Canis lupus familiaris: one gene and its partner. The protein of the gene in region 1 interacts with the protein of each later gene in a biochemical or structural test. Links are inferred from orthologs where the notes say so. Each region holds a gene or a part of one and is shown on either strand. Other genes may lie near its edges. The genes, in order: FKBP4 and GLMN.

Region 1 (16,054 bases):
AAAGGAGACCCGGCTCAAGGCGCATGGTGCTGTTGGGGAAAGGCTGCTAGAATGGAAATGGGAACTTGATGTGAGGATCGGCACTAGGACAAGATGAACCCAATCTTAAATTTTCTAAATCTGCAGTAACTGCTAGCAGTACTAGTTACTGGTTTTCCTTATTTGAGCACATTATCTCCATCCGGGAAGATTTTGAGTATTGGTGAGGAAATGTTCAATTGATGAGGCTGTGAAGCTGATGGTCCAAAGCAAAGTGGAAGTACATGACACACCTGTTTTTAATCCTTAAGGCTTTTTTTCTTCTTCTTTTTTTTTTTTTTTTTTTTTTTTAACATTTTACATATTTGAGGAAGGAGGAGAGCACAGAGGGAAAAGCAGACTCCTCATTGGGCAGGGAACCCAATGCAGGGCTCTGTTCCAGACCCTGGGATCATGGCCAGAGCTGCACACAAACGCTTAACGGACCCACCCAGAACTTCTGGTCACTTAAGTAAAACATCTTCACAGTAGTCTTAATATTACATTGACCAAGGCTTGTCCAGCTCCAGGATTCTATAGAAATGCATTTGTTTTACATTCCTAGAATCCCACGGAATCATTCAGAGCTGGAAAGAGTTTTAATTCTTGTCCACGCCCCTGTTTTTGGAGCTAAGGAAATAGGTTCACCTTGCCCAAGATCACAGGAGCCTCCTAACAAGTTTGGATTTGTTCCAGAGAGCTCAAAATCCAGGCAGACCCTTCTACTTAACTTGAGCCTTGTTTTCATCTGTAAAATGGGGGAACACCTTTGTAGGATGGTTGCAAGGATTAAGGTTAATTCACACAAGGCTCTGGTTTAGTCCTAGCCTTCTGTCCTAGGTGCATAATGAGGGTCAGCTATCGTTGGCTACAGGGGCAAGATGGATCTTAGCATACCAAAGACCCAGGTGCACAGGACTGTGTTAAACTCCGCAAGAGTACAAGTGGGCACTGGGAGACTAAACTGAATTTTAGTTTGGACTCGTGGAAAGAGCCATGCTGTAGGATGTGGGGAGATTTCCATACACATTAATCTTCCACAGTAAAAGCACAGAGAAAAAAAAAAAAGTAAAAGCACAGAGAAATCGCTTCTGGAACTGTATAAGCACGTGAGTAAGCAAACTACCTCTACCACCGTATAGAAAGGACAACTTACAGGAGGGAAGAAGGCCACAGATAGAGGCTTTAGCCTGCTGCCACAACCATCGGGAGAAGACAAGACTTGTGCCCCTTGGCTTCTCCCAGGGCCCCTGGGTGGATATAGGAGGCAAAGATCAACACAGAAAAAAGTCTAAGCTCTTTCCTATTAAGGTCTACAGAGAAGCTGGAAAGCAGACCTGAGTGTGTACCAGAGTTCCCTGGCTTGAGTGCGGTTCTTCCCTACCATACATAATTGTGTAAAAGGTATCTTACTGGAGGGTTGCTAATATATTTCTACCTTGAGAAGAAACCAAGTAAAAAAAAAAAAAAAGAAAAGAAACCAAGAAAGTCTTGTGCTTTCTGCTAGATCACTTAAGGCAGAAGTAGACAAATCTAACCCGAAACCACACAAGCGGTGCCGGTACTTTATTGTATCTTTCCTCCTGTTAAAGAAGAGCAGAGCTCTGAGAACTCACCCCGCTGTGGGGTGGGGGTGTTGGGAGCCTATGGGAGGTGGAAGGCATTGCCCAGCTGTGGTCTGTATGGCACCCGGGAGGCCCTGGTGCTGGCACCACTCCATGCTCACACAACGCTTCTTGATCGGCCACACCTGAAGCACGACTAGGGGTGAAACCTGTATAGTGAACCCTCAGTTTTGTCCCCAAAGCGTAGCCATCATGCCCACCCTCTGAGCCCCAACAGAAAGGGTTGCTGGACACCCAGGTTTTATTTCCACTTTATTGCTCAAGCACAGAACTTGAGGTAAGCCCAGACCTTCAGCAACGTGCAGAGAAGAGGCTGAGGGGATTGGGGACACAACCTGGCTGAGAAGAGAAACTGATCCAAAGGGAAATACTGGTGGGGGGACAGGAGGTGGTCGTCGGGACACCAGAAGACATCTTAGCCATACCATCTGAGGGGAGGATGGCAGCAGAGAACAGTTTACGGGCACAGCAGTGGTTCTTCCCATGCCCCTAGCACCCACATGGAGGCCACATGTTTAGGAATGGACCAGGAGGAGGAAAGGACGAAAATGGCTGGAGGCTCCCTCTCCACCCTGGTTTCCCATCAGACCTCGAGTAGCATCCCTACCACTCACTCCCTTCTACCATTTGGAAAATGGACATAGCAAACAAAAGAAGCAAAATAAATTAACATTCTGATGAGTGTGCGTGTGGATGGACATTCATTCACATGTAATGGGGGGAGAGGGAAGGGAAGAGGGGGTGACACCACCTGAAATGATCCCCCAGCCTACTCCTTTCCCCTTTCCCCCAAAGCCACCATCTAACCAGATAGAAAAATAAAGGTCTAATTCACTCAAAATTCTTCAGTTTTTACAAAACTAACAGGGTGGAGGAGGGGAGGGAGCAGGGGAGGCAGGCAGCCGCAGGAATAGGGCTCGGCAGAGGCTATGCTTCCGTCTCCACCTGAGGTTGGCTCCCTGCCACATCATTCTTCTGCTCATCCTTCATCTCTGTGTCAGCATGATGGTTTCCCGCAGCTACTGCTGCCTTGGCCTGGGAGAAAGGAGGAAAGTAGGGGAATGGAGAAGAGTAGGGGGATGAGTTCCAGTTCTCATCGGGCCCAGGCCTCAGATGAGAAAGGGGACTTGTGCTCCATGTCCCTGCTCCACTTGCCTGCACTGAGCTGATGGCAGTGACTAGCAATAGTGACCTGCCACACTGACACCGTGTCAGGTCTGTACCACAGACTCCTATCCTCTTTGCCTCTCAAGTTAAAAAAAAGATACACACTAGTTTCTAACAGAATTACACTGACACAACAAACTCCCTCTCTAGGTAGGTCCTAAGATACACAGAAGTATACATTTTCAAGATCACTTGGTGCAATACTACGTAAAACTGTACTTGTCCAAAATGGTAATGACTCCCACACGGGGCTCCTGATCACTCTACCGCTAGTCCAAACTGATATCTTTTAAGTGCAAAATAATACCATGGATTTCTGGAGCCTGACTCGAGTCTGAAAAATAAATGTGATTAAAAAAAATAATATGTTACAGTATTTATACCTTGAGTCAACTAAGTATTAAAATTAATCTCTCCTGTTTCCGTTCACTTTTCTAGCACGCTATTAGAAAACTGCAAATCACTATACAGGTTGCATTATTCTTCTATTCACCAGTACTGGTTTGGAACACTGGAAGGTTAACAGGGACTGGAAAAAACAGTAGGCTGTATGCCTATGAGGGAACACCATAGGCTCAGTGAAGAATGTGAAGACAGTTTATGCTGATATAATCCTGTAGACAGGATATGAACAAAGCATAATGTACAAAACCGGTAGAACGTGTTGCCTTTTATTAGGGAAAAGGAAGAAAATGTAACTGGTCTACTTGTCAGATAATTTACTGGAATTCCAGTAAATTATTTCCAGATAACATACTGCAGTCCTCTAAACATTGGTCTTACCCAGTTGCTCCTCAGTGGTAGGAGACTTCACGTTCTTTCATGTGGTTTAAATATAACTATGTAAAACTCTATTACCTGTTTCAACATAGGCTTTTAAACCTAAGTTTTAAAAAGGCAAAAAGAATGGAGGTTGGGAAGCACACAGAGGGCAATCGCTCCCAAGCTGAGGCCTGGGGGGGTGGTTTTCAGCCCTGATCACAGAGGCACGGTGGCCCTCCAACAGGGGTCTTGCTGAGGAGTGTTCATGTTCTTGCTCTAGGACAAGGGCAATGTCTGGTTTCCAGGAGTGGCACACATGACCACAGGCCAGGAGCCGCAGTGGCTGGGGCAGGCCCAGGGCTGGGGCAGGGCTTTTCTTCTGTCTCTCCCACCCATTCCCTGTCCCAAACCTTACCTTGCTCTCCTCCTCAGCCAGCCTCTCAAACATGTTGGCATATAGCTTCTTCTCCCTCGCAAGCTGCTTGCGGATCCGCTGCTGGCACACAGCCAGCTGGGCCTTGGCAGCTTTGTTGCTGGGGTAGAGCTGCAGGACCTTCTGGAAGTCAGCCCGTGCCAAGTCAAAGTCATTCACCGCCAGGTGGGCCTCTCCACGGCGGAAGAGGCCCTTCTCGTTGTTGCTGTCCAGTTCTAGGGCCTAAGGACACGGAGAGGAAGCAAGAGCAAGACCTCAGCCCCTTGGCCTGTCTGGCCGGACTGGGTTTCAGAGGAGCCCTCAGTAGAACACAACCTGCTAGCTCCACCTCAGGAAGGGGGGAGGGGTAGTCTTCAGGCATTAAAGGGAAAAGACCGAGGTCTAGGAAAGAACCCCAGTTAGTCCATGACGCAGAGAGAAAACAGGGCTTTCGATGAAAGACCATGCCAACACTTCCATTCTCTCGAGAATAAAGCAACTACTAAAGAGGCACGGGCTAGGGACTAGGGCAAAGGAAACGCCGTAGCAGTCTTTCCCCTCCTCTGACTCCAGAGCACTAAAGCCAAGGGGCTTGCTTCTCGAAGCCCTTGCCCCGGGGCCTTTCATCTCAGGGCTCCCACTGGTCCACCTGCTACCCTAACTCCTGCCCCAGTCCTGAGGCCAAGTTTCAGACCAGCTGGCAGCTCACGCAACCAAGCCCGTGAATGCTGCGCCCATGCCTTTCCATGGGCCTCACCTTGTTACAGCTCTCAACGGCAGCTGAGAAGGCCTGCAGTTTCAGATGACACATGGCCAGGTTGAGGTGGGAGGCCAGCCGGAGGGCCTGTGCCTTCTGTGCGTCCTCATTAGAGAAACTTGACTCATATTCCAGCCAGGATATGATCTTCTTGTACTGTAGTAAAGCTTGCTTGTACTTGCCTTCCTAGAAAGGGAGGGGGGCTCAGGCACCAGGAAGACACTCTGCAGATAAGGGGACCAGGGAGTCCTGCCTCCCCCTTCCCCTGCCAGACCAGCTAGCTCAGATATACTAGGTGCCGACTGTAGGTGTGCCCAGTCCTCTCCCTGGCAGAAAATGAGTTTTCTAGTCATTGGGGAAGGCTAGGCCCAGAAGAGCCCTCCCGGGGAGCGTCCTCAGGGCCCCAGACGCTGGCTCACCTTGAAGTACACGGTGCCTCGCTCTTTCACTATGGTGCTCTGTTCCAACTTCTCCTCTGAGTTCATCTCCCAAGACTCCTTGGCCTGCCGTACCCCCAAGGGAGACACAGAGTCGTCAACTACCCCAAAGCCATGTCCCGGGACCCAACTCCTAGACAGACAAGACCCTGAGCAAACTCACCTTCTCAAAGCTCTTGAGGTGTATTTCGTATTTCAGCTCAGCATTTGGTGGGATCTGGAACTTGTCCTTCCCAACACTGCCAAAAGCATAGCTGGGGGGCGGGGGGCAGGGGGGAGAGAAAGGTCACTGCAGCCACACTCAACCTGCTCCCAGCTGAAAAGGCTTCCTGTCTGTTTCCTGCGAAGCACCTCCCCGTCCCTTGAGACTTGGTTCAAATGTTTCCTGTTTGGCAGAATCTTCCCTGACCTCTTCACACAATTAGCTGGTCTCATAGCATCTCCCATATCATTCTAACTCATACTAACGGTGGAATAGTCACTAACTTACTAATTACTAAATCTCACTGAATGAATCACTAGAAGGCAGGGCTAATCTCTCTAAATATCCAGGAATCTTCAGTACTGCTCCTGGCACATAATAGGTGTTTTTCAATAAGCATCATTAATGATGGAGTATTGCTTAACAGGAGACAAAGATTTTGTGTTGGTAGAGGAGGCAATGTAGAGGAGCCATGACTGAAAAGATTAGGTTTTGATTCAAATGTAGACAATTATGAGCATGCTCCTAAATACGAAGGGAATCACATTTGCTGTGCCAAGAGTCACAGGGACCTCTAGTGAGGCTGTGGGGGTAGTGAACACACACAGAGGAAGAGCTACAAGGGGCTGGTTACACAACTCACTGTGGACATGTACAATCCTGACCTTGGATCACGCACCTGCTCTACTAAGTGCCCACTCCTCACCTGGGCTTGAGGTACACAATGGAATGTTCTCCTTTTTCCATGCGCTGAATGGCTTTCTCCAGCCCACAAGGCAGGTCCAGGCTCTCTCCCTCGCCAACCTCAAAGTGGAGCTCCCGCTGGTCAAACATCTGGTCCTTGTAGTACCCTTCCAGTGTAACTGGCAGGGAGAAGAGGCAATGTGCCAGGGATGTGAGCAGGCAAGAGACTGAGGAAGGATGCCACCAGCCTCCCTCCGTGACCTCCTCACTTCCTGCCCCCAAGGTGCCCTTGTCATGTTCTGAGCTGGAGGGACGTTGAGAAGATATGATCTAATCCCTCGTTTCTCAGATGAGATACTAGGATCAGAAAAGGAAGGGACTTGCCCAGAGCCCCAAGCCCTAAGTACCAGAATCTGAACCGAAACCCCAGACTGCTATCTCACCATCCACGATAGCACCCTCGTTGGGCCTGGCATAGCCTTCGCCCCGAGTCCGTATTCTCCGGATGATCCCGCCATCTTCTTCTTCTGTCAGGTCCTCTCCCCTGAACTCGAACAACTCCACCTGTGGGATGAGACGGAAGGCGACACAACTCCTTTCAGCACTAACTCATCAGCGGTGAGCTGCAGTTTTTCTCTCTCCAGAAGAGTCCCTGGTAACTGCCAGACCAGGCCCGACCACAAGGGCAGCAAACCGAGAGTGGACAAAGCGGCCCTTCTGCTAAGTTCTGGTCTCAACTTTGGTAGAGGTGGGCCGGTCAAGCAGATCTGGTTGACCTCAGCTCCACATAGGGAGGACATGTTCCAGCCCACTGAGAAAGCCAAGCTGGTAGGCAGTGGAAATGACCGAACATCTTTCAGCAAGTCTCCCGAACATTCTCCAAGCATCCACTAATGAGGGCTCAGCCATTGTCAGACTGAATGGTGTGAAGTCCCCCGTCTCAGGGAAGGCTCTCATCGCCGTGGCCCACGGGGAGATCTCTCCCCTCCTTTGATCTGTAAAGCACTGATGTTCTATACTGCCATCTATCACTATATAGATTCTAACCCCCAGAGCCCTTTCAGTGGAATTCTAACCTCTCTGGGCATTGTTCCAGAAATAAAACATGCCTCACAACCCTTACCCTACTTCAAGTCTGAGGACGAATTTGTGGCCACCTCTTTCCCCCCGAAATCTCCATTAGTGGCTGTGCTCTGGCAACAGCAGGCTATGTGCACAGCAGAGCCAGCTGCCCTCTCCAGGGCTCTTCCTCCCCTAAGGCCAGGCCCTTAGCCTTGGCTACATTGTCTCCAAGCGGCAGGAAGCCCTGGAAGGCAGCCAGGCCCTGGGCTGAGAGAAGGCTGGCTCTCTGCCTTGCTCTCTGTGCCTGGACACTCACCTCAAACACAAGCGTGGCATTGGGGGGGATTTTTGGAGGGCTGCCTGCCGAACCGTAGGCATATTCTGGTTTGCAGGTGATGTGGCACACTTCTCCCACCTTCATGGTTCCTACAGCAATGTCCCAAGCCTTAATGACCTCCCCTGTAGGCACAGAAAGCAAACAGGTCCTCCTTGGCAGGGAGCTGACCCTGGGCTCAGACAGTAGCTCCAGAGACCTTTAGGACACTATGCCCACATGGAAGCTACACACTCTTTAAAAACGAGACCAGGGAGGTAGAAAACCTGGTTGCAATAAGCACTGTCAGGCCCCAGATCTCTTTTAAGATATTACTCAAGTCTGGAACAAAGTTGTTTAAGAAACCAGGGAATCGGGATCCCTGGGTGGCGCAGTGGTTTAGCGCCTGCCTTTGGCCCAGGGCGCGATCCTGGAGACCCGGGATCGAATCCCACGTCGGGCTCCCGGTGCATGGAGCCTGCTTCTCCCTCTGCCTATGTCTCTGCCTCTCTCTCTCTCTCTCTCTCTGTGACTATCATAAATAAATAAAAATTTAAAAAAAAAAAAAAAAAAGAAAGAAACCAGGGAATCTACCCCTGAAGAGGAACTGAGGCGTCCAAAGGTGATTAGGGAAGGTGAGAGAGAGATAGAGAGTGAGAGAGAGAGATCAACACGGTTCCAGCAGAGGAGAAGAAAAAACGAGTTTAACGAGAAAAATTCATGGACTGAACAAACCATTCCTCCTTACGCTTCTGAAAGTATGGTTTCTGCTTGTGAAAGCTTACACCCTCCGCAGAGCTGATGCTCCCAACCCACTAACCGTGCCTACCTTTGCCCAGGTCAAAGGAGAATTTGTCCTTGCGGTCCAGACTGGAGTCAAACTTGGTGCCATCTAACAGCCAGCCAGTGTAGTGGACAAAGACTCGGTCCCCAATCATGGGCATCTCCGTGCCTGTGCCCTCTCGCTTGATGACCTGGGAGGAAGGCAGAGAAGGTGAGTACTGGGAAAGCTTGCTGGCTTTCCCGGGGCATGGGGGCTGAATGAGGCACTTAAACTGCCCACACAGACTCTGATGCAAACATAGAGGGACCCTTCTGTCACACTGTAAGCAAAAGGACTAAACCTCCCGTGATTGTGACATTAAGTCTGGCTAGAAGCCAGCTGACACCCTGCCTCCATCTTTCTTGAGGTGCAATAGGACTTGGGATCCTGGAGTCCCGGGATCAACTGCCACGTCAGGCTCCCTGCATGGAGCCTGCTTCTCCCTCTGCCTGTGTCTCTGCCCCTCTCTTGTGTGTCTCTCATGAATGAATTTTTTTAAAAAAAAAATTTTTTTTTAGAAAAGAAAACCAAAAACCTCAAGACAGGGATGCCTGGGCGGCTCAGTGGTTGAGCATCTGCCTTAGGCTCAGGTCATGATCCTAGGATCCCAGGATCAAGTCCAGAATCAAGCTCCCTGCAGGGAGCCTGTTTCTCCCTCTGCCTATGTCTCTGCCACCTCTCTATTTTTCATGAACAAACAAAATCTGTAAAAAAAAAAAAAAAAAAAGAGAGAGAGAAGAAAACTCAAAACAGAAACCCGGAGTTCAAGTTTTTGCTCTATGATCTTGTATAAGTCAAGCTTTCTAGACTTTATTTGTAGACTGGTGATAATAGTCCCTATCAGGATTGGAGAATTAAACTGGTAAAAAGCTGAAAATTATTATCAGTAGAAAAGAGAGAACCATTTATGCTAGGTTTCCTCATTCTTCCTAAATGCTGGTGGTCATCATATCAGGGTCTGGTTTGTGGACAGAAATAGAATAATGGACAGGATCGCAGAAGTCCAAAAGAGGCTGTGAAAATACCAGGTCACCGATGGGCACAGGGGCACTGAGACTCAGGACAGGAGCATTCACTTGATTGGGAAGCAAGTGAAGTGTTTTGAGAACTAGAGCCTTTCTCAGGAAGATTTGCTGCTCTTCTTTAGCATTTATATAAGGGGACAAGGAGACTCCATGGATCACCTGGAACGTATGTGGTTACCTATTAAGGGAAAGCCTGCATAACAGAATGGGCAGAAGCCTTGAAGAGTACAAAAGGGAGGGAGTGGAAGAGAAAAGGGCAAAGGACCCTTCTGGGAATAATAAACTTGTAGAAACCATCAGGACGCTGGAGAGAGAAGAGAAAGCCACATGCTCACTGGGAGAACAGCTTAAGATTCCGAGATCTGGGCAAAACCAGGACCGTTTCTGGACCAGTTTATGGGTTCCCTGAGGTCTCCAGCTTTGCCCAGGTCTCTCTCGCTCTCTCTCACGCAACTAAGCAGTGGGAAGCCAGGATGAAAAGAAACACTGCATGAGGAGGAGGCATGAAATCCAGCCTGGGATTTCGCCATCCTGTACTGCACAGAACCTGCTCTGAAGCACCATCAAGTCGCCCTGACCCAGGTCAAGATGCCCTGCCCCCCGAGGCCCGGCCCCCTCCCTCCGCGGCTCCGCGGCTCCCAGCAGAGCACCTCCTCCCGGCCCGCAGCCCGGCCCCGGCTCACGAGGGGGAGGGGAACTACAGGTCCCGGCATGCCGCTCGCTGGCCCTCCCGGGGCGGGGGCGGGGGGAGGGGGCCAGCATGGCTGGGCCGGTGACCTCGCTGGGTCCCAGCCTCTGGGAAGGGGGCCGCCGGGGGGACGGAGGGCGCCACCGGCTCTGCTGGCGCCAGGCCCCGGGCCGGGCCAGGTCGCAGCAGAACCTCTGGGCCAGGAGAATCAGTCCGGTGGCCGCTCCGGGTCCGAGCTCATGTTTAACTGCCCGAGGCAGCCGAGATCTCGCAGCAGCGCCCGCGGACGCGTCCAGGGGCTTCCCGGCTGCAGCTGGCGGCGGGGCGGCGGGGCGGCGGGGCCGGGGCCGGGTGCGGGGGGCGGCGGGCGGCGTCGGGGCCGGCCCGGGCCCCCTGGCGGCACCTCGCGTGCCACCGGCGGCCCCGCCCCTCCCTCCGCGCTGCACCGCGCACGCCGGAGTTGGCGCTGCGGTCGGGCCCGGACGCCGCGGAACGGCCGAGGCCCCCGCGCACCCCGCCGCCCGACAACGCAGCCCGGGCCGGGAGGGCGATGCACGGGGCCGCGGGCGCACGCCCGGCTCACGGCGCGCGCGGACGCTGCAGGGGCGCCCGGGGGTCCCCGGCTCGGCGGGAGGCCGGCCGCCCGCGCCGCCGCCGCGTACCTTCAGCACGCCTTCGTCCTGCTTGGGGCTGACATCCACCCCCTCGAGGGGAAGCGGCGCCGACTGCGCCCCGCTCTCGGCCGCCTTCATCTCCTCGGCGGTCATCGCCGCTCGGTGCGCCGTTTACGCCGGGAGCCGGGAGCCGGGCCGTCTGCTGGGGGAGGCGGGCGGGAGGGCGCTGGCGGCGGCCGCCCGGCTGCGCACCGGCCTCGGGCTCCAACACCGCTGGCTCCGGCGCGCTCGCGGCCCGCGGCGGGTTCGGCGCGGGAGCGGGAGTCGGTGGGTAATGAGCGGCCGCGGGGAGCGATTGGTGCCACCCGCCGCGGAGGGAGGGGCTGGGAGGCGCAGGGGCGGGAGCGAGGGGCGGAGGGGGCGGGGGCGGAGAACTTTCTGGAGACGGCGGCCGCCGAGCCAGTTCGGGCCCTGCTGCTCGGGGTGCCTGTGTGAATGTGCGCGGCTTGGGCTTCGGGTGGGTTTTTTTTTTTTTTTTTTTTTTTTCCCCTTTCCCCCGGTTCTTTCCTCCCTGCGGCCGCCTGGCCTCCCTCTCCCCACGCTGGGGCCCTCGGACTGCGGGGGCTTCCCCCGCTCACCCGCACCCCACCCCCACCCGAGCGCCCTTCCCTGGCCCTCCCCCGCCCGTTTCCCGGTCTAACCAGATTCTTCCAGATCCTTCTCGATCCCCTGCACCAGCCCCAGGCCGAGGGTGCCCGCCGCCCCAGGTCCGCCCCAGGTCCGCCCCAGATCCGCCCCGTCGTTGCAGCCTGCGGCGTGCTGTGCCCCGACCCGCGCAGCCGGACGTGATCTCCCCGCACACGAGACGCGCATTTTTATAAGCCGGCGGCGGGCGCACGCGGCGCGGCCTCGCATCTCTGCACTCAGCGTACAGACGCTTAGAGGGCTGGGGGGAGAGAAGGGAAGGGGGCTCGGCGACCCCAGTGCTCGGAATCTGGGAGAACACCCCTGAATTCCCCAGACCCGGGAACACGTGCCGCCTTTAGCTTAAAATGGTCGGAGCAGGATTTGCAAGAAATGACCCGCTGAGCTAAGGACTCTAAATGGGACGCATATTAAAGGGACCTTCCCCAGCTATGATAGGAGGACCCTTTAGATTAATATTTAAAAATGGAAATTGTTTCAAGTCACGAAAACAGTCACTCCTTTTTACCAAAGACCCACGGCAATGAAAATTTTCTGCCTGATACTTGGTTTTCGAGTATCTACCGACTGCCTGTGAGTGCAGAGCAGCTGTGCGGCAAGTCAGAGCTCTGCAGCCCCTAGCTACCTGAATAGATAGATTTTGCCTTTGACAAAAAAGAATCATCTAGAGAGTGTCGATTTTGCTCAGCACTTAGCCCCAGTTTAACATAGTGCCTGGTGAGTGGAGTCAAATAGTTTTTGGCTGCATAAGTTTGTATTCCAATAATAATCTTTTTTTGGAGCCCTCACTATATGCCTGGCACTGTGCTGTTGTATGCAAACTGTCGCGCTTAGGTACATAATTTACCCTATTATGGATGAAATTGCAGCTCCATAAGGTAATTGGATCATTCGTTATAGCCCTGTCTGATGGAGTCTGACGGGAAGGGAATGCAGAAGAAATAAAACCATTTCCTCCAGCAATTTATAGCAGATGACTTGAGCCACAACTAAGAAGTGTCTCATTAGATGATTGGGGATACCCATTAGATTTATGGGGGGATAAATCTATTTATTTTCTATGCGTCCCTCAGTAGAGTAGGAAGTAACACTGAAAGTTCTCCAAAACTCCAGGAGACAAGGGTGGTGGGTAAGGTGCTAGCTGGCTGGTTTGGCAGTTATCTTGGTGTTGGTTTATGCACTTGGCTACACCAACGTGTGGTAGTTTCTTTTCTTTCTTTTTCTTTTCTTTTTTTGGTTTTGATTTTATTTACTGATTTTTTTTTTTTTTTTTTTAGAACGGGAGAGAATCTCAAGTGGACTCCGGGCCCCATTCCTGGGCTCAACCTCACCTGGAGATCATCACCTGAGCCAAAACCCAAGAGCCAGACATTTAACCAACTGAACCACCCAGGTGCCCCTGTGCTAGTTTCTTTCGATGCTAAGACCACTGGGTATTATCTGGAGGAATGAGTTGGGATGAAAAAGGAAAGTTCACCTTTAGAGGACTGCTTTTCTACATCTTTTTTATTACTCACAGCAAATAGCATAAGTCTATATCTTTTAGTTTCTGTTAACACATAGTGCTGAAGATGCACCTGCCACTGAGAGTTGGGTCACCCATGTACTATTTTGATCTGAGGCAGGTTCTGGGGATGGTAACATTTGTCAGTGAGAGGAGTTATAACAGTTAGGAAAGAGGGAACATGCGGCAAGTATCCAGCACAGTGCCCACCTTTGAGTGGGTGGTTTACAGAATGGTCATTACTCTAATGTGATAAGTGTAATGGCAGAGATAGGGGAAGAGTGGTCTATTAGAGAGGGGAATGATAGGGTGGAAGGGAAAGGGGAAGGATAGGAGGGAAAGGTTTCCAGTGAGAAAGTTCTGACTCTGTTCAGTGGATGAGTAAGGAGGGGCTGGGAGGTGGAAGGGAGAGAGGAGGGGGCAGTAGGCATTGGGTTCCTGAATTCCCAGACCAGAACCTTACGGTTCCTAGATTTTTTTCCTGTTTCTTTATATTCTTCTGATTGCAAAACTTACATATACTCAATGTAGAAAGTATGCAGATATTTTGTTCTTTCCCTCCCCTGACTTTTCCCATTTCCAGCTCATTGAAATCAGTATTCCCATTAAAGGTGTTTAACAATGTAATTATTTGCACTGGTATTATTCACTCATTCAAAATCCTTCCAAAATTTTCCCTTTCTGCTAGAAGAAGAGAACATACTTTTTTTTTTTTTTTTTTTAAATCATCCACCTTATTCTGGAGATGACTCAAGCTGTGGTCAGAAGCTTTGTTATTGCCAAAATCGGCCTTCCTGTGCTCATCTAGTTCACCTCTCTAATGCTAGGTGCATCCTTCAGACATGAAGACCCCGTTGTCTTTTTTTTGTTGTTGTTGTTGTCCCCGTTGTCTTTATAGTTGCTATTTTCACCTTCTTACACTGCCAGTGCTCTTAAACGTTAAAAAAAAAATATGTATCTGTATCATTCAAAAGTATGTGAGATGAGTATGTAGGTGTTTGTAACGTACGCATACACATAGTATGTCCCATACGAACATGATGAACCTTGGGAATATACCACCTAGCCTAAGGATTAGAACATTGCCAATATGATGTGTGTCAAAAAATCAGGGGTGTCTGGATGGCTCAGTCGGTTAAGCAAATTGCCTTCGCCTCAGGTCATGATCCCAGGGTCCTGGGATGGACCCCCACATCAGGCTTCCTGCTCAGCGAGGAGTCTGCTTCTCCCCTTCCCTCTGATTGCCGTTCCCCCTGCTTGTGCGCTCTGTCAGATAAATGAATAAAATCTTTTTAAAAATTTTACAGATGAGACACTTTGGTGGCTCAGTGATTGAGCATCTACCTTCAGCTCAGGGGATGATCCCAGGTCTGGGGATCAAGTCCCTCATTGGGCTTCCTGTGGGGAGCCCGCTTCTCCCGCTGTCTGTCTCTGTCTCTCTGTGTGTCTGTCATGAATAAGTAAATAAATAAAAATCTAAAAAAAAAAAAAGGTAATAGAAAACCCTACTAGGTATGTACCCAAAGAATACGAAAACACTAATTTGAAAGGATAGATGCACCCCTATGTTTATTGCAGCATTATTTTCAGGTCAAGTTATGGAAGTACCTGAGTGTCCACTGATAGATGAATGGATAAAGATGTGGTATATTCTTTTTTTTTAAAGATTTTATTTATTTATTCATGAGAGACACAGAGAAAGAGGCAGAGACATAGAGAAGCAGCCTCCCTGCAGGGAGCCTGATGTGGGACTCGATCCCAGGACTCTGGGATCATGCTCTGAGCCAAAGGCAGATGCTTAATCACTGAGCCACTCAGGTGCCCCAAGATGTGGTATATTCATACAATGGAATGTTACTCAGCCATAACAAAATGAAATCTTGTCATTTTTAACAACATGGATGGATCTAGAGAGTGTAATGCTAAGTGAGATAAGTCAGTCAGAGAAAGACAAATACCATATGATTTCACTCATATGTAGAATTTCAGAAACAAAACAAAGAGACTTAACTCTAGAGAACAAATTGATAGTTACTAGAGGCGGGGATGGGTGGAAGATAGGTGAACTAGGTAGAGGGGATTAAGAGTACGCTTATGAGGGGATCCCTGCGTGGCACAGCGGTTTAGTGCCTGCCTTTGGCCCAGGGCGCGATCCTGGAGACCCGGGATCAAATCCCACGTCGGGCTCCTGGTGCATGGGGCCTGCTTCTCCCTCTGCATATGTCTCTGCCTCTCTCTCTCTCTCTCTGTGTGTGTGACTATCATAAATAAATAAATTAAATAAATCTTTAAAAAAAAAAAAAGAGTACGCTTATGATGAGCACTGAGTAACATATAGAATTGTTGAATCATTATATTGTGCACTTGAAACTAATAAAACACTAATATGATAGCTAACTGGAGTTTTTAGGAAAGTAATACCAAAAATATTAAGGACACTTACATAACTTCTTGCTACTTTTTGTGTCTTTTGATTGAGAAAATGCAAACCATACTATCGGCCAAAACAGACACTCAATAGTTCATGAAAAATACATTTATTTACTTACTTATTTTAGTGATTATTGGTTATTATTATTATTATTATTCTAAGTAGGGTTCAATGCCTAGTGTAGAGCCCAACACAGGGCTTGAACTCACAATCCTGAGATTAAGACCTGAGCTGAGACGGGCACTGGGGGTTATTCTGTATGTTAGTAAATTGAACACCAATAAAAAATAAATTAAAAAAAAAAAAAAAAAAAAGACCTGAGCTGAGATCAAGAGTCAGACACTTAATCAGCTGGGCCACCCAGATGCAACCAGTCCATTTTCATACACTTGAAAAATAGTAGACCCTTGGGTGAGGTTTGCAAATAAGAGAGATCTGCAGAATGTAAAGGTTAAGCTCTTGAGGTCTGGCTTGGGCTCCAATCTGTTTCGTCATTGAACACATTGTGGGTCCTTGGGCAAGTTTTCCTGAGCTATAAAATGGGAGTCATGATAGTACCTACCCCATAGGGGTTTTCTTTGAGGATTTTTAAAAAAAGATTTATTTATTTATTTATGCATGAGAGAGACACAGAGAGGCAGAGACATAGGCAGAGGGAGAAGTAGGCTCCATGCAGGGAGCCCGCTGCAGGACTCGATCCCAGGACTCCAGGATCACGCCCTAAGCCAAAGGCAGACACTTAACCGCTGAGCCAGCCAGGCGTCCCTTCTTTGATAATTAAATGAATTATTATGTGTGAAGTACTTAAAGCAGTGCATGGCACAT
Region 2 (16,349 bases), on another chromosome or scaffold:
GATCAAGCCCTGAGTCAGGCTCCACACTCAGTGGGGAGTCTGCTTTAGAGTCTCTCTTTTCCCTCTTCTTCTACTCCCTCTTCACCTGCATCCCACACATGTACTTGCTCACTCTCTAAAATGAATAAACATATTTTTAAGATTTTATTTTATTTATTCATGAGAGAGACATACATACACACACACACACACACACACACACACACACACACACACCCCGGGCGGTGGGGGGGGGGGGGGGCAGAGACACAGGCAGAGGGAGAAGCAGGCTCCATGCAGGGAGCCTGATATGGGACTTGATCCTGGATTCCAGGATCATGCCCTGAACCACAGGCAGATGCTCAACTGCTGAGCCACCCAGGTATCCCAATAAATCTTTTTTTTTTATTTTTAAGAATAAAATATTGACCTATGTATTTAAATCATTCTCATAAACTACTCCTATTCTAGAAACTTTGTGACAGGAGGTAAATCTAGTCTGTTTAGGAGATGCCAAGCAACAGAATAGGACTTTTTTTGCTGAAAATATGGACATAATGTAAACGAAGAACAGTAAAGGTTTCTTGGAGTCTCTGGTATATAAAGTAATAAAAGGCAAGTGTACCTGAAGAGGTGGAAAAGGAGTACCTGCTTAACTGAAGAATGTTTATTCCCTTAGACATCTTTCTACAGATACTCATACCTTCACCAGCAATCTAAAAGTGTCTTGATTTGGTTTTCTTAAAGCCTGGAGTAGAGAGATATAATGAGTCTATATATGAGAAATTATAGTGCTTTTCTGATCCTCTCTTTGTTTCGCATAATTTTTTTTTAAGTATCTCCCATTCTTGTTTATAAAAATGGTTAAATTAACATGAGATAAATAGATAAGCTAATGCAGTTGTCCAAGTAGTTCTCCTACCTTTTAGAAGCATCTTCTTGTTTTAAAGCATTCGTCTGTTTAGCACCTACAATAATAATAAAAATATTTTATATTTATAATAATAAAATTATTGTGGAGTTCAAGTCTTCGGAAACACACTAGTTTACAGGACAGATTCCTACTGAAACTGCAGACAACCTCTCTTCTTTCTTCCCCACACGTTACTTTCCAATCCCGTTTGCAAAACAAATGAAATGGGCAAGCGGAATTCAGTTTGCTAATTATTCCCGAATTCTTCTTGGTTAAAATGTATCTCCTCGGGGATTGAATTTTCTCATGTAAAACAGCTGCATGGTCACGGGGGCTCCTGCAAATCTGAGGTGTAGGCAACTCGAAATGTTCCCCCGAATGTTCGCTCACAGGGAAAGAGCAGGGGTGGGGTGACGCCTCAGAGGACCCGGAGCTAAAGCAGGAGTGCATGTCCAAGCTGGGCTGCCCCGGTCGCTTGCCCTTTCTGGCGAGCCAGCTCTAGACTCCAGCTCCTCTACTCCCTTTCCCTCAGAGACCGGTTCTGGGGCAAATCTTGGAACACCGGTGTGAAGAGGTGAGGGTGTGGAGGTCTTTCCCAGAAGACCCGAGGCCGGGGATGGGCCGCTCTGGGCCTTCTCTGCCCCGGAGCAGTCTTCCGGGTGTGTCCCGCGCGCCTCCGTGTGGAACACTCGAGGGGCTCGGTTCTCAGGGCCCTTCTTACCTGAGGCGTTTCGGGAAGCGCGGGGCGTCCGAGCCTTGAGGCCGGGCGAGCGCGGCCCGGCGGAGTCAGCCATGGGAAACGCGTCAGAAGGTCAGCCCGGGACCCGGCGTCTCCCCCCGAGGCTCCGCCCCCCGTCGCTAGCGCGGGGCGGGGCCGGCCGGGGAGGGGCGGGGCCCGGAGAGGCCTGCGCGGCCGGAGGAGGTGGGGGAAGCCGCCGAGAGCGGCGAGAGGCCCGGCGGTAAGTGGACGCGCCCGGGCGGCGGGGGTGGCCGGGGCTCGGGGCCAGCTGCGAGCCGCGGGGGAGCCGGCGCCGCGGCCCGCAAGGCCCCACGAGGTCGTGGGCCCGAACGCCTAGGCCCGCAGGAATCGGGAGAAATGGCTTCCTTTGGATGCAGTCCGCACGCGCGCTGGGCTTTTATCCGCTCTGGAGCGCGCGGCCGCGGGGACCCGGCTGACCCAGCTCCCGCTGCGGGCCTGGGGCAGGGTCTTGCCGCTGGGCCCACGGCGCCTGCGGGAGCCGAGCCGTGTTCCCCCGGGAGCTGCCGGTTGCGTCGCGTCCGTGCGGCCTGGCGGTTACACCAGCTGGGTGACTGGGGGACCGCATCGCTTACAGAAGAACGTCCGGGTCGCACTTGGGACTGTGGGCATCGGAACTTTCACCCGCTCTGGGGTGAGTTGTGTAGGCGCCAGTGTTTGTCAAGTGGGACATTGAAGCATTTTTTAAGATTCCCTAATGACTAGAACTGATTTCAGGAACACTTTTGGGAAATTTTTTCAGAAAAGAAATACTTAGCCTTTTTAAAGCCATTTACGTAGCCGATATTTGCGCTCCTGTTTGGGCGTACCCAGGAGGATTTTTTTTTTTTTTTTCAGGTAGATCTTTCAAAACTATTCTAGAAAACCTAAAAGATGCAACAGTTTTTTACTCCTTAGGCTAAAATACTTTTAAGTCAAAATATTTCAGCTTTAAAATGTCGTATTTTCCTTATTGTATTTACTGATAATTCATCAGAATGAAACATAACTCATTAATACTGTAATATCACTGATAGTTAACTGTTTTATATTTCAGCATAAAAACTAGGAAAAATAACGAGGAATGGCTGTGGAAGAACTTCAGTCCATAATAATGAGATGTGTAAGTAATTTTTCTTCTTGTAAAGTTAAATGCAAGATTATTTCTAGTTATACTTAGGGTCACTCAAATTGCTTATCTTCTCTAATCCTTGCTTTGTTTGACCGGTGAATAAATAGCAGGAGGGCCAGAAGGCAGATTGGATTATCTCTCCAAGTGACCTACTTGTCTAACCTTTAACATTTTTTTTTTTTAACCTTTAAAATTTTTAATATTGATCTTTATTGTAGAATTTTTTTTGGCAGTGTGGATTTCAAGATCATTAAACTACTTTTTCAGGCTTATCCTAATTTTCACACATATGCTAATGTGCAACTTACTCAGAATTCAAACACATTTCCTTTTTATTTCCAGAGAGAATAAATCAAGTAGTTATTGAATTTTTTATTCACCAAACGTTTTGTCTTCATTTTGTTTTTGTCAGCAAATCCTAGAAGAACAAGACTTCAAAGAAGAAGATTTTGGCCTATTTCAATTAGCAGGCCAAAGATGCATAGATGAAGGGCACATAGAGCAGCTACTAGAGATTATTCAAAATGAAAAGAATAAGGTAAGTGCAATCTTTATGAGTATTTTTTAGTCTTTACTAGGAAGATAATAGCCACATGATGCTATTGTTTATCCACTCATTCATCAAACATTTAAGAATCAAATTTCTACAGTAGGAACATGGAAAACAAAAAAGGGCTTAGGGCTATTCATACACTTGAAGGTGCTTATAGTCTGGTGGAAGAGATAATCATGTAAACAACTAGCAAGAGGGCAGAATAAGTGAAATAATAGATATAGTTTGAGTAAAGTGCTTTAAAAGAGCAAGGATTATTTCTGCTTTAGGGATCAAAAGTGGCATTTGGATTATTATTGATTTACATTTAGTACTGTAAGTATCAGGCAACCTAGATACTCATTTTTGGTAATCCGCACTTTCTCTTTCTTAAGCCAGATATATATGGAAAACCAGATATTAAGTAAGATAATATTTAGGAGGCTGGCTGAGTCAGTTAAGTGTATCTGGTATCAGTTAAGTTCCTCTGGTAGACAGGGAACATCTGCTTTCCACTCAGCTGATGATCCTGGGTTTTAGGATGGAGCACTGCTTTAGGCTCCCTGCTCAGCAGAGAGTCTGCTTCTCCCTCTGCCTCTCCCCTGCTCATTCTCGCTCTCTCAAATAAATAAATAAAATCTTAAAGAAGTAAAAAGATAATATTTGGGTGCATAAAATCAGAATAGGAGCAGACTTAGATGGCCTTACTGGCCAATATCATGCAGCTATAATCATCTGAAAAATCCTTTTCATCAATGGGAAAAGGATCTTTTGGGAATGAGAAACAAATGTTTCCGGGGACGCAGTGTTGGCAACACTGCCAAATTTTTTGTCTTTGTACTTGCCTTTTTTTTTTTTTAAGATTTTATTTTTTATTCATTCATTCATTCATTCATTCATTCATGAGAGACACAGAGAGAGAGAGACGAGGAGAGAGGCAGAGACACTGGCAGAGGGAGAAGCAAGCTCCATGCAGGGAGCCTGATGTGGGACTCAATCCTGGGACTCCAGGGTCATGCCCCAGGCCGAAGGCAGGCACTAAACCGCTGAGCCACCCAGGCTGCCCCATACTTGCCTTTTTATACAAGAAAAGATCATCTTTCCAGGAGCACACTCTTTCTTCATTTACAGTACTATTTATTTACATAGAAGTTTTCTTGGGCAGCCAGGTGGTTCAGTGGTTTAGTGCCGCCTTCGGCCCAGGGCCTGATCCTGGAGACCTGGGATCGAGTCCCATGTCAGGCTCCCTGCATGGAGCCTGCTTCTCCCTCTACCTGTCTCTGCCTTGCTTTCTCTCTCTCTGTGCCTCTCATGAATAAATAAATAAAAATCTTTAAAAAAATAATTAGGTTATTATGTTAACTAGAATTTAAAAACTTGAAACAAAAGAAGAAAATTGGGTGATAGTGATATTTTTTAACTTTTTGAGTTTTAACTTTAATAGGTTGAGAATCATCTTTGTAATGTGTGGTTTGCTAAATTCAAAGGTTCAGACATTGATAAGACCGTATTTTTTTTTTAAGATTTTATTTATTTATTCATAATAGAGAGAGAGAGGGAGGGGCAGAGACACAGGCAGAGGGAGAAGCAGGCTCCATGCCAGGAGCCCGACATGGGACTCGATCCCGGGACCTCAGAATTGCGCCCTGGGCCAAAGGCAGGTGCTAAACCACTAAGCCACCCAGGGATCCCCTATAAGACTGTATTTCAAACTGACTGCAGCTTAGCTTTCTTGCCAGGTGATGCAATCAGGCTTGATCGATTTACTATACTCTTTTTTTGTAAATTAAAAAAAAAAGGCCATATGAATAGTTTGTCCTATAGTATAGGGCCTCTCAACATTAGTACTCTAGATATTTTGTAGTAACCACCCCACACTCTGAAATGACAATCAAAAATGTTCTCAGATGTTGCCAAATGTCCTCTGGTAGACAGGGAACAAAATTGCCCCCATTGGATATCCATTGGTATAGTGGGAAACACATGGGCTTTGGAGCCAAACAGATTTATATGCAGTTCCTGGTTCTGCCACATTTTAGTTGATTTTTAGGCATGCCAGTAATCTCTAAACGTTGGCGTTCTCATGTGTCATTTGGGGATAATCTTACTTTGTAGGTAGTTAGTATTAAACTAAACAAGGTGTAGTTTATGGATAGTTAGTATTGATTCCTTTTCCTCATAATTATTCACTATTTACATAATGACTAGATACCTTGCAGCTGAGATGATGTTTGTAAAGTATTTTATCAAAATTATTTTTTTTCATTTCAGATATGCAAAATCTTATTTAAATCTAGAATTTCCCATATAGTTAATTCTCAGAGATCACTTATAGGGTAGAAATACACCAATGGAAAGGCAAAGAAGTGCTTATTTGGAAAAGTAGAGCCTAATAGGAGCTAGTTAAGTTTTATTTATTTTTATTTTTTTTAAAGATTTATTTATTTATTTATGATAGACAGAGAGAGAGAGACAGGCAGAGACACAGGAGGAAGGAGAAACAGGCTCCATGCCGGGAGCCCGATGCAGGACTCGATCCCGGGAATCCAGGATCGCACCCTGGGCCAAAGGCAGGCGCTAAACCGCTGAGCCACCCTGGGATCCCCTAGTTAAGTTTTAAAAAGCAAGAGTAGTCTTAATAGGTAATGGTGGAATAAATATTTAGTAATTTGGAAAAAATTAATAAAAACAACAGAATATCAAAGCTTTGGAGGGAATCTAATTTGTCACCCTGTTATCTTAAAGATAACAGACATCATTCAAAATGTATTTATGGAGCACCTATTTTTTAACAGGCCCTTGTCTAGATGCTAGGAATAGATACAGCAGTAAACAAAACTGCTCATATGGATCTTAAACTCTAATGAAGACAGGTATCTACTAATAAACTATATGGTATGTTAGAAAGTGATGAATACTATAGAAAAAAATAAAGCATAACTAGGGGATGAACCATGTTAGGTGAGACTGCAGAGATTTGAAAAGGAAGGAGAGGAGTAAACCATAGGGAGAAGAGCTATCTGAAAGAAGAGCATGCCAGGCAGAAGAAATAACTAGTATGGAATGATTTATGAATATGAAACGAAAATATTTAGAACAGCTGAGTTGTCTTTCCCATTAGCTAAAAAGAATGATTGTTTTTGTTGTTGTTGTTTTTATTTTATTTATTCATATGAGATACAGAAAGAGAGAGGCAGAGACATAGGCAGAGGGAGAAGCAGGCTCCATGCAGGGAGCCCGATGTGGGACTCAGTCCTGATCTCTGGGTTCACAACCTGAGCCAAAGGCAGACACTTAACAGCTGAGCCACCCAGGCATCCCAAGAATGATTGTTTTGCTATTTGTTTAAAAAAAAATAATCGATTCAAGCATTCATTTAAAAAAAAATTTTTTTTTAAAGATGTATTTATTTGAGAGTGCACGTGCATGCAAACATGAGTCAAGGAGAGGGGTAGAGGGGTAAGCAGACCCCCTGCTGAGCCCAGACACTGGCTTGATTTCCACCCTGAGATCATCACCTGACCCAAAATCCAGACCTGAAAGCCTAACCAACTGAGCTACCCAGGCGCCCTTTATTCCATGTTTCTAACATAAATCTTTTGAATAAAAAGAAAGGTGAAATGTATATATGTTGAAATATAAATGATTTGTTTATGAATCTCTAAAGGAGAGAAACCAATTTAGACTTAAAAGCTAATAGGAAAAGAATCAAAGAAAAGTAAGTGTATTTTGCTTATAAAAAAAATAAGGACAACCAAAAAAACCAAATAATTATCTGTTGTAAATACAAGAAGGGAGCTCATGCAGATTGATAAAGACAAATGCTAAAATGTCTAATTGATAAGTGAGCAAAAATATAAACAGCATTTCCTCTTTTGTGAGCTATATGTTCATATACGCTAACATATTCTGTTACTAGTTCTCTAGGACATGTTAAGTCTTACACCTTTACACATTGCTGTTTCAGAGCCTTAAATATATTTTCCACCTGACAGACTTCCCTAACAATTTTAGCTTAGCCACTGTCTCTTCAGAGAAGCCTTTCTTGCCTTTCCTAGATGGAAGGCAGTTCTCCTGCTATATCTCAATACTCTGGTTTGATTATAAGACTGGGGTCATGGAGAGAGTATGTGCTTAATTGTCTTCCGGAATAGATGTGTTTTTTTAATGAGTCAATCTAGAAGGTAAACTCTTATCAGGATAGAGATCTTACCTTACTTAATTTATAGCACCAGAATATTTTAGGGACTTGGCATATAATAGTGTATTCTTGATTAAATACTGATAAGTTGAAGTAGAAAGCAGCCCAGAGAAATGGAGTATATTATTGCTAGTTCTGGAAATAGAGGTTTTGATTATGAATGTGAATCACAAGAATATAAACTTTTACTTGTGTGGTAAACATTCTGAAATATCTTTGAAAATAGAAATAACTTGTATGTTGAAGAGAAAGTAACTGAAGTGGTATCCCCTTTTACATAAGTTATGTAATCATAATATATTTACAGATTTTCCAAGTTACTTTAAAAGGTTCATAAGTGTTGGGTGTAATTTTTTTTGGGGGGTTGGGTGCATTTCTTTATGAATCAGGAGAGCAAAATTCTCCGTGAAAATTAAGTATTTGCTCAAATTAATTCTCTTATTAGAAATAGAGAAACTAAAGTATAAAAAAGACCAACATACCTGGTTTAAAGTAAATGTCCATTCACCTTTCTTCAGTGAGAGTATTAAAAACTATTTTAAAATGTTGAGAGTTGTTAATAGCCAACCCTGAGAAGTCAGTGGTGAGATGCTGTAGGCTTCATTTGCCTCATAGCTATTTCAGAGGAAATATTAAGCTCCTTCAAGTTAAGAAAGCTTACTGTAAGAGCCCTATAGATGGCAGTATTTTCTTTACTCTAAAAATGTTTTTATAGGTCATCATTAAGAATATGGGCTGGAATCTTGTTGGTCCTGTTGTTCGATGTCTTTTGTGGAATAAGGAAGATGAGAAAAGAAAATATTATTTTCTGATGCTTGATTTATTGGTAAAGGTAAGTTAACAAAATTAGGTTCTCTTTGTCATGATAGCCAGCAGTATTTTGTTTTAATGCTTAATGCTCATTTTGGGTGATAAAGCTTTTAGCTCATGAAAATAGAGAAGAGAATTCTTTGGAGAAAAGGCCCAATATTATTGATTGGATGGGCAAGTCCACTTCAGTTTTTCCAAATTTCTGAATATAAGAAGTATCTAACCTCAACTCAGACCCACTGATTCAGAATCTCCAAGAAGATACCTAAAACGTTCTATTTTTAATAAGTAGCTTATCAGATAGATGTGGAATTCAGGGTTTAGAGAAGCAGTTAGTTCCAAGCCCATGCTGTTCTTTTAACAACATTGGAACTAGCAAATCTCAGTCCTCTTTTCTCTGTGGTACATTCTCTAAAAGATTATTAAAAATCAAGAATGCAAATGATCACAGGGGATATAGGAATAGGAAGGAGATTTGTTGTAACCAACAACCTTAGAGACTTGATAAAAAAGTTACTAGAGTTTTAAGTAAAAAATGGTAAAGGAGCATAAAATCTAAAGAAAAGGACATAAAAAAGAGCTACTTAGAGATCAGTACAAATAAGAATACATACTTGGAAAGTGGAAACCCCATCTAGATAGTAGTTATTAACTACTTTAAAAGGAAAACAAGGCAAGTGTGGTAATTCTGGGTAGTCAGAAGGCAGTGCAAAGTTATATCTGTTCAGAAAGGACAAAAGAGACTTACTCATTTAAATACCCTGACAGTGTGAGATAGAAAAGTCCCACCTGCTGAAGTCATGAGAAACTAAGGTAGCTTTCAGAGTAGACAGTCAAAGCTCAAAAGAAACCTCAGTTTTGGTAATCAAGTTCTTCTATTCTCCTATTTTTCTAACTTTTCCTAGGAATTTCAGTATCCAAATAGAGTTCTTTTTTTTTAAGATTTTATTCATTTATTTGAGAGAGAGAGAGAGAGAGAGAGAGAGAGAGAGAGAGAGAGAATCTGAAGTAGATTCCAAACTGAGCCCAGAGCCTGACAAAGGGCTTGATCCCAAGACCCTGAGATCATGACCTGAGCCAAAACCAAGAGTCAGACGCTTAATTGACTGTGCCACTCAGGCACCCCAAGTATAATTGTCCATTAAGACACTCATGACTTTTTGCTTTTAGTTTTAGTGATTTGACAGTCAGATTCTGACTGTTTTGTTGGTGTATCTTTTTAAACAATTATGTGAGGTGTTTTACTGTTAAAAATAATTCTATTTTCTCAATATATGCTGCCTTTTAAAAATAGTAATCATGTGGCTTTAAATACAACTTGTATTAAACAGGTTCAATTGTGAATATTTTTATAGTTATGTAATCCAAAGGAATTATTGTTGGGTTTGCTTGAACTGATTGAAGAGCCCTCTGGAAAACAGATATCCCAAATTATTCTTCTTTTACTTCAGCCATTACAAACAGGTAATGAGTATTTTGATATCTAAATGTTTCTTATTTTATCTGTGTTAAGTTCTTGTTATTAGTCCAAAATGTCAGCACTATACCAAAGTAAATTTATGACTAATTATTGAGTACTCTGCTTATACTAGCAATAGCAGTACCATTTTGAATCCTGCTACCTGTAGAAAGATGACAATACCTGGCACAGATGGGTACCCAGTATATATTTTGTTAAATGTCCTGCTGTTTTTCAGGTACTGTGTTGTAATCTATAGCTTTCTGCTTAACCTTCATATCTGCAACTTATATCTAAAACTTTCTCTGTAAACATATTTAAAGGATTGCCTCTGTGATGTCTGCTTTACTCTGTTAGCATTGTGGTGGGTCCTGTATCTTGGTTAAGAACAGTATTGTGCAAACATTGCTTATCCTTAGCATTGGGAAGTTGGGGCTGAGGATAGCAAAAGAACTACGAATGAAACAAGTGTGAAAGAAAAGTCTCCCATGGCTGAGTGCAGTAACATTACTGTTAAGCAATGGAGCTTGGCAACCAAAACAGACAGTATTTATCCATGGGAAGAGATTATGTTTTCATTTTATGACTTACATGTAACTCAGAGTACGATAAAAGGACTCGGAATCTAGAAGTTAAATTCATTTTAAATGAGAATGAAGCAGCTTTGAACCACTTGACATACTCAAAGTCTCCTAGAAAGGTAATTCTAGTAATACTACTTCTCATTTTTTCAATGTTTAATATTTTGCAAAGAGCCTTCTCTTATTTAATAGTTAATAACAACCAAAAATATGGAAGTGTTTTGTCTTAACTATGTAAACAGTTAGAAACAAACAAGATTTCGTGGCATCTGTTATAAGGTGCATGATTGATTTTAAGATGCTTAGGTATTTCATGCACCACTAAGAAGGAAAGATAAAAACACTATCAGTTAAGTTATGATCTATCATCCTGATTTCAAAGTCGTTACGATGTTTTTTTTAAACGTGTTATAATTCTACCTTTACTGGACTTACTGTCCCATGTATAGCATACTTGATGAAGTTAACTCAGGTCACAACTTGGTCTCTGTTTTAGTGATTCAGAAACTTCATAACAACAAGGCATATTCAGTGGGATTAGCATTGTCCACCCTTTGGAGTCAGCTATCTCTCCTTCCTGTTCCATACTCAGAGGAACAAATACAAACAGATGACTATGGCCTTTGTCAGTGTTGCAAGGCCTTAATAGAATTCACTAAGCCTTTTGTGGAAGAAGTCATTAATGACAAAGAAAACTCACTGGAAAATGAAAATGAAAAGTTAAAGGATGAATTACTGAAGTTGTAAGTATATTTTTGCTAATAGTTCACAATGGAGTTAAGTAGTCAGTTATTTTATGTTTCTTTGCTGTATTTGTTTGCCATGGATGTATAAATCTAGCTCAGGTTTTGAATTTTAGAAGATTATGGGATACAGTGGTCATTGCTTCATTAAATGCCATATTCTACATTTTTAAAAATTAAAAACCTAAATCCATTTGTTAAATTTGTATGCTTCTATGACTTGCTTTTATTCAGTAAGTGAATAAAGTAGGGGAAGTAGATAGGTGTAGCTCAAGGAATCTGGTCTTTTTGTAGGGGAATTGTGCTTTTACTCTTCTTATGAAAGCAACAGAAGTAGCACCAGAAAGTTGAACATCCAACTTTACAACAAAAACGGTAACAGAGTAGCCAAAAGCATATCATTCCAGGGGCACTATACACTAAACAAATACTGTATGTACACTGTGACTGTCACGCATTTGACATATGGCTAGCAAGATTAAGATGTACTCTTTTTTTTTTTTTTTTTTTTTTTTTTTTTAATTTTTATTTATTTATGATAGTCACAGAGAGAGAGAGAGAGAGGCAGAGACACAGGCAGAGGGAGAAGCAGGCTCCATGCATCGGGAGCCCGACATGGGATTCGATCCCGGGTCTCCAGGATCGTGCCCTGGGCCAAAGGCAGGCGCCAAACCGCTGCGCCACCCAGGGATCCCAAGATGTACTCTTAGTATAAAATGCTCCTTGGATTTTGAAGACTTGTATTTAAAAAATACTAAAATAAAATAAAAAAAATAAAATAAACTACCTCAATAATTTTTATACTAACATTGAGATAATCATATTTTAGATATATTAAGTTTATAAGTAGTTTCTCTTGTTTCTTTTTTAATGTGACTACTAAAAGATTTTAAAATCACATGCAGAGTTTGTATTATATTTGTATTGGACTAGATTACTGAATTACATGGATGAGTAATTTTATCTTCTAAAATTTGAAGACTAAAACTACAGTTAGCTTTCTGTTTTTTTAGGTTAGAACATTAAAATTTTTTTTGCCATTTATAAACCCATTATTTCATGAGCGTGAAAATATTTAAACTAAAGAAATTGGAAAGGCTTAATTACAGAATAGTTTGGTTTTCTAAGTAAAACAAATTGAGCTTATGAAAAAAATTACATTGTCGCGATTTTCCTTGAACTAATGAAAACTACATCATGAAATAGCACTGGTCCTCAAACCTTCAGTAACTATTGGTATAGTCCAGGCATGGAAGTAAATCTTACCACATGGAGTAAACAGCTCAAGGTGTGCTCATTCTCTCCCCAATCCCAGTAGGAAAAATTTTACATTAGCAGTTTTACATGCTGTTGAGTCATTGGTGCTTATGTTATTTTATCATGTAAAATTAACTTTGATAAGTTTATAGAGCTAGGTATTTTATACTTACAAAATACTGTATTCACAGTTACCCATTTCTTACACCTTAGTTGTTTCAAAAGCTTGAAATGCCCTTTGCTGACAGCACAATTCTTTGAGCAGTCTAAAGAAGCAGGAAATGATCCTTTAAGATGTTTTGCATCTGAAATAATAGTAAGTACAGCTAATTTAATCTTCCATAAAATCTGCTATAATTTAAAATGTACTGCTATATTCTCATGTACTGCACATGGGCATGCAAATTGATACATTATTAATATGTAGAACACAGATTAAAAAGGTGGAAAATAAATAGCAATATTATTTGGGTAATGAAATTAACACCTCCAGACTTTGCTTTTGCAGTCCTAAATGAATATATACGTGTATGTAATTTTTTTCAAAGATTCTGTCCCATTATACATACTCTTTTGTAACGTACTTTCTCTTAACATATTACGAATATTTTTCCATTGTCCTTCTGTTTTTATTTAACTAGGGCCATCTAGTTCTAGGTTTTCTTTTTTTTTTTAAGATTTTACTTATTTATTAATGAGAGACACACAGAAAGAGAGAGGCAGAGACACAGGCAGAGGGAGAAGCAGGCTCCATGCAGGAAGCCCAACGCAGGACTTGATCCTGGAACTCCAGGATCAGGCCCTGGGCCGAAGGCAGGCGCTAAACCACTGACCAACCCGGGGTGCCCTAGTAGGTTTTAGGTTTTCTCCAATTTTCTAGGTTTTCTCCAATTTTTCAATATTATAAAATAATTCCAGCTTTCTTCTTTTAACTGTTAAGTCTATGATAAGTACCCTTTTAACCAAATCTTTGCATATTTTAGTTGCTTTTTTAAAATAAATTCCTAGAAGTAGAATTTCTGTGCCAAAAGATATCCTCAGTTTTAAGGTTTATGATATTTTCAAAATAACTCCAGAAATAAGTAAATTTTATTTTAAAAGTAATTTGGTGTAATGCATCAAAGAGTACTAATAAGTGTGCTGGGATTCCGTATTAGGGAACTAATTTGAAATATGGAAAACTATGTACTTGAAATTAATAGTCATGAATTTCAGATTAGAGCAATCATTGTGATTGTGGATTTTCTTTAGCCATGTTCAGCTGTATGAGTGTAGGTACAACATAGGAAGAAAGTTGGATTTAATTAGGTCAGAGTTTTGAGAACTGTGAATTCTACAAAGCAAGAGAGGGAGAAAGGCATTGAGCTTGTATGCAAGGAAGTGACTGTGAGGAACAGTAGAATTTAAGCTGAATAAGGAGGGAAGATAGGACATACAAAATGTGAGAGACAGTGAAGAAGATGATGGAATCGTTGGATTGTAGTTCCTGGTGTGAATAACAAGTTGCTGGAGCCTAGGTTATTAAAAGGAGTGAGCTGAAAAGATTAGAGGTTAAAGAACAGGATGCTTGGGCAGCCTGGGTGGCTCAGCGGTTTAGCGCTGCCTTTGGCCCAGGACGTGATCCTGGAGTCCCCAGATTGAGTCCCACGTCAGGCTCCCTGCATGGAGCCTGCTTCTCCTGCCTGTGTCTCTGCCTCTCTCTTTGTGTCTCTCATGAATAAATAAATAAAATCTTAAAACAAAACAAAAACAAAAACAAACCACAGGATGCTTGAAATAACACTGCAGAAAAGTTAAAGTTACTAATAACAATGTCTGGGGTATGATCATGGAGTGAGTTTTCTAAGGATCCAGCGGAGGCTGGGGTCATTGGACTAGATAGTGAAGTACCTGAGATTCCAGGGTATTAGAAAATTGTTGGTTATACATTTAAGTCACACAGAATTATGGTAAGAATAATGTCCAAAACCCAATTAATGGATGGCCTTGGGGTAGATGTTGTATAGTCACGTGAAGTAAGTTTCAAAGCTCAGGGTTTTAGAGAGGTTGGGGAAGCAATAAGAAGAACAGATATTTTACTTCTAGGCTTGGTATAGTGGATATGAGTGAAAAAAAATAGCAACCCTTTGAGAGGTCTGCAGAGAAAATAGTCATTTTCAGAAAAAAAATTTTCAGAGTGAATGAAGTAAGAGACCATTTCACAAAGAATGGATTTTGCTAATAATTGTGAGTGCCACAGGCCATACTTTGAAGGGTACCTGAGATCCAAGAAGTAGGAGAAGGGTTTAGATGAAGAGATGCCAGAAATTTAGGGGAACTAGATTCTGAGGATAAGAAATGATTTGGTAATTAATATAAATAGGGTTGCATGGTTATTGGAGTTAATGCTGATGGTCAAGATAGTAGGGAAGAGGCTATGAGTGATGTAGAGGGAGAGAAAAGGAGGGATTTTCCCAGCAACACATAAAAGACTGGGGCTTCTTCATTGTTGCCAATGTTAATATACAGTATAATCCCCTGGATACAGTATAAACATTACCATGTATGATATATGTACCCTATTTTGAGAAGATAGTTAGAAAGTTAGTAACCAACTGTTACAGGATTTTAAGCCTGGTTGTGATATAATTGTTTTGGATTCATCATTTCAGTGGAGGTTGAATTTAACCAAGATAAGATTGGAAATAGGGAGATCCTTAGGTGTGTTTTGGGAGTTTAGTGAGAAATAATGGGATCTTGATTATGGAAATGGTGGTAGAGATGAAGAGGAGAGGGCAAAATAAAATATTTGAAGGTAGATAAAATCAGCAAAATTTGGCCATTAATTTAATTTTAAAAATAGTTTAAAAGCTAATTCATGGATGAAGTTTTATGCTTGCTTAACTGGGCAGATGAAGGTGCCAATAATTGAGATAGAGAGTAAAGAGCAAGAAACAGTATGTTTTGTGCTTTAAAAATATTTTTTTATTAAGAAATTTAAAAATATTCAGAAAGCCGAAAGAACAATATAATGTAACCTCATGTACCCATTACCCAGTTTGAACAATTTTTGAAATTTTGCTAATCTTGTTTTGCTTATTCCTTTTTTAACTGTAGTGTTTTATAGCAAGTCCCAGACATATCATTTCATCCATAAGTCTTCAAGTATGTTTCTCTAAATAGTAAAGACTTCTAAAAAAAAAAAAAACCACAATCCATTATGACCTGTAACAAGATTATGACATCTAACAAGATTAACAGTAATTGCTTTATATCTAATTCCCAGAGCAGGTTTTTAAGGAGAAAATTTTGAAAGATGATCAAATTTTGAGGATCATCTAAAGAGGTAGATTAGTGTGAGAAAAGAAAAGGGCTTAGGATTGAACCTACAGAGTACCAACACTTAAGCCCACCAAAGAGACCAAGAAAGAAGGGTCACAGAGGTGGTACAAATATCACAGAAACTGGGATAGTAGAGTTTCAGGAAGAAAAAGTGATTGGTAGTGTTAAATGTGGCCTGTAAAGTAACAGTTGAAAAGCATACATTGGATTTAGGAAGATGCCATTGATAATCTTAGCAAGAACAGTTTAAGTGGAGTGTTAGAGACAAAAAACAGTGTTAAAAGAGCACATGACCAGTGAGAAAAAGACAACTAGTATAAGGTGATCTTCAAAAGAGGATGAGTAAGAAGAAGAGTAAGTGGAAGACACGGGCCTAGGGTAGGAAGGTAATGGGGGAGACAGGGAGCCTTGAGTATGTATATTTATTTATGGGATAACTGAAATAAAATGTGGCTTTGGAGCACACAGCTGAGCACAGGATCAGGACACCTGGAGGAGGTAAAAATGGGTATGCATGTAGGGAAATTTGTAGCAGGAATGGAATATTAAAATTGAAGAGAGGGATCCCTGGGTGGCGCAGCGGTTTGGCGCCTGCCTTTGGCCCAGGGCGTGATCCTGGAGACCCGGGATCAAATCCCACGTCGGGCTTCCAGTGCATGGAGCCTGCTTCTCCCTCTGCCTGTGT

Evidence for each region.
Region 2: the proteins of FKBP4 (region 1) and GLMN form a complex in vitro, tested with the Homo sapiens proteins (2 studies listed by BioGRID). The link is inferred for Canis lupus familiaris from reciprocal best matches to the Homo sapiens genes FKBP4 and GLMN.

Annotation. Positions count from the first base shown.
Region 1 is NC_049248.1:4,079,589-4,095,642, reverse strand, and holds FKBP4 (peptidyl-prolyl cis-trans isomerase FKBP4), read right to left. Parts: upstream 10,789-16,054; 5' UTR 10,743-10,788; coding exon 10,638-10,742; intron 10,294-10,637; exon of another isoform or gene 10,168-10,293; intron 8,414-10,167; coding exon 8,269-8,413; intron 7,586-8,268; coding exon 7,443-7,585; intron 6,629-7,442; coding exon 6,508-6,628; intron 6,244-6,507; coding exon 6,087-6,243; intron 5,433-6,086; coding exon 5,342-5,432; intron 5,245-5,341; coding exon 5,161-5,244; intron 4,928-5,160; coding exon 4,742-4,927; intron 4,228-4,741; coding exon 3,988-4,227; intron 2,679-3,987; coding exon 2,571-2,678; 3' UTR 1,879-2,570; downstream 1-1,878. UniProt on the Homo sapiens protein: Immunophilin protein with PPIase and co-chaperone activities. Component of steroid receptors heterocomplexes through interaction with heat-shock protein 90 (HSP90).
Region 2 is NC_049227.1:57,138,946-57,155,294, forward strand, and holds part of GLMN (glomulin), read left to right. Parts: intron 1-901; coding exon of another isoform or gene 902-947; intron 948-1,613; coding exon of another isoform or gene 1,614-1,686; exon of another isoform or gene 1,687-1,851; intron 1,852-2,144; exon of another isoform or gene 2,145-2,283; intron 2,284-2,685; 5' UTR 2,686-2,712; coding exon 2,713-2,751; intron 2,752-3,172; coding exon 3,173-3,298; intron 3,299-8,208; coding exon 8,209-8,325; intron 8,326-9,658; coding exon 9,659-9,767; intron 9,768-10,839; coding exon 10,840-11,086; intron 11,087-12,556; coding exon 12,557-12,659; intron 12,660-16,349. Other genes in the region: putative RNA polymerase II subunit B1 CTD phosphatase RPAP2, read right to left, coding at 902-947, 1,614-1,686.